Nothobranchius furzeri: one gene and its partner. The main gene of each other region encodes a partner of the protein of the gene in region 2 in a complex. Links are inferred from orthologs where the notes say so. Each region holds a gene or a part of one and is shown on either strand. Other genes may lie near its edges.

Region 1 (3,752 bases), on a different chromosome or scaffold from region 2:
AAGCCTGGGTAAGGAGTGAACACGGCGTCCGTCCTGGCACAGCTGTTTTCTACAAAGGAATCAAATCCAAAACAAAAGTGTAATTAGACTTTCTAAATGTAAGAAGAAAATAGTCATAAAAAAAAACATTAGAAATGAATACACCACACTTGAACTGCAACTTCGTCTGATTTCCATTACTGGCGTCACACACAAGCTTTGAATTTCAAACAGCCTGTGTGTCTGGTGTTTTTCTGGCCAGAGCAGGTTGCGTTTCAAGGCCGAGTGTGTTAGCTACTTCAGGCCCACTCTTGGAGCAGTTCAGCCTGACCTCTCGCCTGTGGAAATCAGCTCTCTCCCAAACATTGGCAATCTGTGTGCAGCCTCCCTCTCCACCCTGCCCCCCAATCTCTCCTCCGTTCTCACCCTGATTGCAGTCGATCACGTTGCAAAACTCGCGCACATTGTTTTCATTGATCTCCATCTGCTTGCATTCCATAAATGCAGATATTCTTCGCTCGATCTGGAGTTACAGAGAAGACAGATAATAAGACACAACGGGTTGATGAGCCACTGATAGCTGTGAAGAATTCAATGTTTTGTCGACTTATTTTTACTGATTTAGAGTAAACAAAGTTCAGCGATTTATGGTTTCAAAAAATATCAAACACAGTGAGAGAAATTATTCCAGATAGCCCAAACAGTTGAATAGATTATCGTCATCATGTGATGGAATAAGAATACGGTTTGCCTGGCTACCAAAATAAATGCACAACAGAATGGGGCCTCTTGTCCTTCATCCACATGCAATCTCAGAGTAATGAGCATCCACTTCATAATCCATCAAGGACCTGGCCCTCTCTCAAACCCCTCCAGCAATGTGGTCCATTCTACCCCACCACAGCACTACAGAACCCTTTATTCTCTGTCAAACCCAGTATCAGAACTCCATCAAGCATTTGCTGCACATCATGTGCACATCCTTGGAACCAATTACTTATGATTATTCATTTGCTTGACAGAGTGTGAAGGGCTCTAAAATATCAGTGCCAGAACAGCTGACAGATCTGTTGACAATGACCAACCTCTGACTTCCCGGCTCGGATCTGAACCATGACGTCATCGCCCGAAGACCCGCAGTCTGCAGCCTCTGAGCTGTGACGCCGGTGCTCGGATGATAGTGACGTGACAATGTTATCCGCCGTGTCTTCCTTCACAGATGTAACATCAGCTTCCACCAGTGACCTCAGGCTTTCTGAAACAGCCTACAGCCAAACAGAAAGAACACTGACTGCTACAAACACATTATAAATTAGTGTTATTATTTCTTTAATTACAACACTAGTGACCATCAATTATACTGTAAATGTGGCACTTATTAGATATTGCAGTCATATGTAACATAAATTAACCAACGGGTGAATGTCTTACCTGCAACTTAGCAATGTGCTGCTGTACACAGCCATAAACACCTGCTTCTGAAGATGACGAAAGTACTACAGCTCCAGGGTTGACCTCTATTCTCAAAGCAGCATCCCCTAATTTCAGCTTTGAGAGAAAATAAACAAGAGTTTCATCAAGTACACATCACCACAGCTAAATAAAAAATATATAGTTCAAAATAGTAGAGGCAGAAAATGCTAAATAATTTAAGTAATTTAACCAACAATTTGGTAATTAAAAAAGAAGCAATTTTTCATAATTTGCTTCTATAAACGGTCAAATTAAATAATCTTATTGTTTTACACTGAACCTTTCTGCTGTGCTAGAAAAACTAAACCATTATTTAGCAAAAAAAAACAGTGTATATAAGACTGAATACATATATTTAATGTCCCTTTAGAAGCCCTGGGTATGAAAAGAGCTAAAGCATCCAGCAATTTTAATAATTTAGACGTAAACACGGGGGGAAATAGAGCAAGGTTAAATATATTTTCTAAGGTAGAAATGCGTTGTGGACAGTGGCATCAATAAACGTTTACCTGCAGGACCAAAAATTACATAATACTGCGTAAAAATGCCAAAAACCGTGAACGTTTACTATATGGAAAAAGAGGGTAAATGAAAATAAGCGTGATTTGAACCTAAACTGACGTGTGACACAAAAGTCTGGACATGTTTTTATTGCACAGAAATACAAATATTAAAACTGAATCTGTTAATTTAGATATAAACCATCGAGCTGACGCTTTCCTACGGCAAAAACTTGATTAACGGACAGTGAATGAACATGAACCGACGAGGCTAGTTGCTAAAAACATTAGCACACCGCTAGGAAACTACTCAGACTGGAATGACTATTCGGAGCGAAGCAGCTGAATCATTTCACACCAACCTCTTTCCCAAAGTCTGAAAGCAGCCCCAGTATTGCGTCCATGCAGTGTTTGTAACTGGACATTTTAGCTGGTTCGCTGGGAGGAGCTTTGCTCTCACTTAGCTTCGTTGTCTCCGCCATTGCTACTCAAACTCATGGAATACTGCGTGCTCATTGGTTGCGAGACGGTGATTTTAATCACGTGGTTGGTGGAACTGCAGGCTAAAATGACGCATGCGCATTAACAGTAGCGCATGAAAGTAAATTCAAAGCACAAAAATAAATGATTTACTGTGTTTTGCTCAGAATTTTGATCTTTAAATAGATTCTGAAACATTAAAAAACCTGTATAGTTTTTTTTGTTTGATCCTAAAGAGGGCTCATCATAGGTAGAAAGATGCTTTTGTTTTTGTTTGTGGAGATTTAATTTCTAGAAGGCTCATTCAGAAAGCAAAAGTCAACTTTTACTAATTTAAACTATTTAATAAACTAGTACAGATGCTTAAAATTGTGAAATATGTTTCAGTATAACAAAAAAGTAAACAATAGTTTAAAAAACAGCAGAGAAAAATAAACAGAAAATGTTTTAACTTTTGAAATGGACATATTATTTAGGTTCAGTATATTTGTTTGCCTTTTCTCAGAGGATGCTCATAAGGTCATGTCTTATTTGTATAAAGCATATAAAATAAGTTTTATTCTTAAAAAACTACTAATGTTTTTATTGTGCTGATTTTTGAGGTGCTTTATGACTTAAACTCTTTTTTAAATCTTGGTTTAAATGGACTTGTCTACATTTTTACAATACTGACTGACATGTCCAAGCCACATTTGCCTACGTTTTCATTCACCTGCTTCTCAAACAGCACAAAGAATGGCTCCTTATTATAAGCACACTGTGCTTCTTACTGCAGAGGACCAAGCAGCAGGGCATTGGGATGGGAACCTGCCCACAATGGTGTATTTCTCTGAGTTGAGTGACTGTGGGAAAATCTCCCTTCTCTATTCAGACATTTTTCACTTCTTTTCATATAATGAAGAGAGAGACTGATGAAGGAAACAACAGAAAAAGAACAATTACAGGCAAAGAGACGGCACAACCATGCACTCAGAACTCAATAATGCTCTTTAGAAAGGTTAATCATTTTAGGAAGGGCTCTGAAGATAAGCCTTTTTAGCTTAATTCATTTGTAGGGTGATATTTTTTCCCGTGAAACAGGAAGAGAACTGTAACACTTGACATGGTTTGACATGCTGAGCAGTTGCTAAATGTTCCCACACAGCGAGGAGCTCTGAAATTAAATACACTGCTCATTTAATTTGCCTGGCTGCAGACCCAAGAGCTGTAATTTTTTTTACCCTTTTAATGAGCTGTATATGTGATTTAAGGTACTTCTTGGAAAATACTTAGAGCATTTTGGTTGAATTTAACTTTTGAAGCCAAATTGCAGATGCTCAT
Region 2 (3,652 bases):
TGTGTTGAGGTTCAGGGTCGGGAGGCGTGTAGCCCCTCTGCCGGCACCACTGCACCACCTCCTTGGTCTTCGGGGGCGTCAGGGCCTGCAGGCGGGGCGAGCGGTCCAGCACGTCCTGAACCAGACGCTTCACCGCCACCGCTCTCTGAAGCTACAGAGACGGCCAAAGATCAGCTCATTTTAACTCGGAAGAGTCCGATCACAAAGTTTAAGCATTGTAGACCCTCGCTGCTTAAACTATTTAGCAACATGCATGAATAAGCATTAATATTCACGGTATCCCACATACGGCTCAGAATACAGTATTAGTCAAAGAGATGATGTGGCAGAAACACACATCCAACTAGAGAGAGAAGAGATGCAGCTGGAAGACGGATTAAAATGCAAAACTGCAGCCGCGGCGAATCATCACGTCGTGTACTCCATCAAAGTGAGTAAAAACACGGTCATACTTCTCTTCTCCACAAGAACAGCAATGAATCATTTACTATGTTGATGAAACACGAGGCTAGTACAGCATGAAGACGAGTAAAACTGAAGATAACGGTGAGAGGTGGACATAAGATTTCATCAAAACAAAATCAAAAGGTTACCTCTGACGCTCTGCGTTTGCCAATGTTCCAAGAATAATACTGTTCTACTGAGGAGGCACAAAAGGGATGGGAGTCTTCAGCTATGTAAAAATAAAGCAGCGTTACATTTAAAGAGTGTCTTCAGTCGGTTTATAAATATGAAATCTAATTGTATTTACTTTTTTCTGGCACAATTAGAGGAAACTTCTTCACCACAGCCGTCAGCAGCTGCATCATGGTTTCGATGTGCTCAGTGCTGAGAGGAAAGAGCTTTGGATTAACATCAGAACATCATCTGCATTTGTGTTTAAAGAGACAGCGGCGTTGCTCTTACTTAATGAGGCAGTGTGCTGAGTTATCTGTGCCTTGTTCCTGTTTGACGGTGGTGGCTGCAGAAGCAACATGGACAGGGGCTGGAGCAGCAGCCGTCGCCAGGGGCGACGGACCAGCTGCGACGGCACCTGGTTCTGTTTTCACTGTGGCAGCGGAGAGCGACAGCAGATGTGTATATGTGGGGGAGATAAATGTTATTAGGAATCACAAACATATTTAGACTTGTATAAAAGATTATTACTCTGAACTATTTCATCACAAATCAACACATGTAATTTATATTTTAAAGGGAACTAGGCAGTCTTGGCTTGCTTTTGGCACCCCCTAGAGTCCATTTATAGAACTGAAAGCAAAACTTATCTCCTCGCTTTCCCCCCAGCCTTCCTTAGTATCTACAGGAGTCATTCATTCATTTGGGGCAGCAGTAGCTCAGGTGGTAGAGCGCGTTGCCTCATGATCGGAGGGTCATGGGTTCGATTCCAGCTCCCACCAGGGGTATCCTGCTGTTGTGTCCTTGGGCAAGACACTTCACCCAACTTGCCTGTGTTAGTGGTGGTCAGAGGGGCCGACGGCGCCAAATGGCAGCCTCGCCTCTGTCAAACCTCCCCAGGGCGGCTGTGGCTACAAGTAGCTTATCATCACTAGCAGTGTGTGAATGTGAGTGTGTGAAAGCGTCTTTGGGGGTCTAGAAAAGCGCTATATAAGTTCAATGCATTATTATTATTATTATTATTATTCATCACTAAATTACACAAATCAGATGTGTTCATAATCTAAAACATCCAGGAAATGTGCTGGAACCAGACTGCAGCACCAGGTATGTCAACTCCTTTTGTCTAAGTCCCAACAGAGCTGCCCGCCAGTCTGAAGTTGCAAGTGGAATACTCTGGTCACAGGTGGCGATGGGGGCTGGGTGTCATTTCATTAACCATGTAAAGGGTCATTTTAGCACATAGTGGCTCAAGAAAATGATTGAAAAAGTAGCTAAATGTCCCATTAATAAGACTCTAATGGTTTGGATTATGTTCATCAGCTTTAAACACAACTATCAAACTATTTGCTTCGTCTTCAGTGGCCAATGTTTGATTCTGACAGCTCAAACATAAAAATGGAGTTAGGAAGAAAGAGAGGAGAGGGTGGAGTGACAATGGACCCCTCTCACCTTGTGCTAAAGGCGGGATAAGGGAGGAGGAGACCTGGCTGGAAAGACCTGAGGAGGCTCCAGCTGCTCCAGGAGGAGTGGATGAAGAGGAGAAGGAGGGAGGAGTATTGGAGACTGGGCCTTTAGACAGACAGACAGACAGACAGACGGACGGACGGACGCACGCACGCACACACGCACGCACGCACGCACACACACACACACACACACACACACACACAGAAGGGTCAATGTCCTGCTAGGTAAACAGTAAGACAAAAAATGAGATGAGAGGATATTGGTAACAATAAGATATTTCCAGATGATGGAGCGCATCTCAGATTTATTTTAAAATTACATCAAGTTCAGAACAACTAAAGAAGTAATCCAGGATCAGTTTTGGGATTCTGTTTAACTTCAACACTAGCGAGATTATTCTGTGTTCATGGAGTGGGCTTACCTTTACTGACAGGCATGAATATGGATTGCAGTCCAGCAGACCCAGTTCCAACCCCTAGCTGCTTCAGCTGGGTGGCAGGGATGGTTAAAACGGTCTGCTGGGAGCTGGAACCAGCAGACTGGATCTTCAGCATACCTGGCCAAAAACCACAAGGTGAGATCATTTGCACACCCATGTGTTGTGCATAAACATATGATTGTAGGTTGTGGTGTGTTCCTCCACACCTGACAGTGCAGCACTTGTTTTTCCTGCTCCAGCTGCCACTCCGCTGACTAACGACGCCGCAGAAACTAATGGAGTGTTGCTGCTTTTGGACACCCCCACCACAGTCCCAGCTCCAGCTCCTTTGGACGTGCTCATGACGGGCAAATTTGTGACACCTTTTGCCACCATCACTGCGGCAACGGCTGAACTTCCTGCACTCTTACTTGGGGAGGCGGAGCTTCCAGCTCCTTTGACCAAAGAGGCCACAGCTGCCTTGGACAGACTGCCGCCGCTGGCTGTGCCGGCGTTCTTAGCTGCGCTGATTACTGCCGCCTGGCTGGCTGACACCAGCAGTTGCTGTTGCTGGGAGGCAGACTTCCCGCCATCAGCAGCCTGGATAAAGATACAGAAACACATCTGTCAACCAAAAAAATGTGCAGAAATACTGCACCTCTCATGCATGTATAAAGCAGAAAAAAAAAAATCCTGACATAGTTTATGTTTTAAATAAATAAAATTTTGACAGCACTCTGCAGCCCTCTGCTGACCAGAAACTGCTCTTAAATATTTTGTGGTTCCGGTAGGGGTACTACCTGCTTTACGACAATAAACGTCTACTGTGCTGGTAGCTCATATAAAGGCTAGCTGTTAGCCATTTCAGTTTCACCGGCCGTCAATAAATAGTGCAAGATGAAATAGTTTACTTTTTTGTTGGCATCATGGCGGAGCCTGGAAATTAAAGTAAGAGAATGATGGCTTTGGAGGCAGAGCAAAGAGCAACAACTAGAGTGAACATCAACACGACCTACACTCGTTTGAGGACAATAAAGGAGGCATTGAAATGAAAGGTTTATGGTGACCTGGCTTTGTTGTAACTTATAAGCAATATTCTGGTCCAAAAGTGTGAATTGATTAGATTAAGCCACACTTGAGATAAGAATG

Evidence for each region.
Region 1: yeats2 (region 2) and mbip share a complex: the UniProt entries of both Homo sapiens proteins name them as parts of the ADA2A-containing complex. The link is inferred for Nothobranchius furzeri from reciprocal best matches to the Homo sapiens genes YEATS2 and MBIP.

Annotation. Positions count from the first base shown.
Region 1 is NC_091758.1:21,137,004-21,140,755, forward strand, and holds the start of mbip (MAP3K12-binding inhibitory protein 1), read right to left. Parts: upstream 2,474-3,752; 5' UTR 2,435-2,473; coding exon 2,315-2,434; intron 1,528-2,314; coding exon 1,411-1,527; intron 1,245-1,410; coding exon 1,065-1,244; intron 503-1,064; coding exon 406-502; intron 50-405; coding exon 1-49. UniProt on the Homo sapiens protein: Inhibits the MAP3K12 activity to induce the activation of the JNK/SAPK pathway. Component of the ATAC complex, a complex with histone acetyltransferase activity on histones H3 and H4.
Region 2 is NC_091751.1:55,945,914-55,949,565, reverse strand, and holds part of yeats2 (YEATS domain-containing protein 2), read right to left. Parts: intron 3,104-3,652; coding exon 2,731-3,103; intron 2,642-2,730; coding exon 2,507-2,641; intron 2,188-2,506; coding exon 2,068-2,187; intron 1,049-2,067; coding exon 907-1,048; intron 829-906; coding exon 752-828; intron 674-751; coding exon 594-673; intron 152-593; coding exon 1-151. UniProt on the Homo sapiens protein: Chromatin reader component of the ATAC complex, a complex with histone acetyltransferase activity on histones H3 and H4. YEATS2 specifically recognizes and binds histone H3 crotonylated at 'Lys-27' (H3K27cr).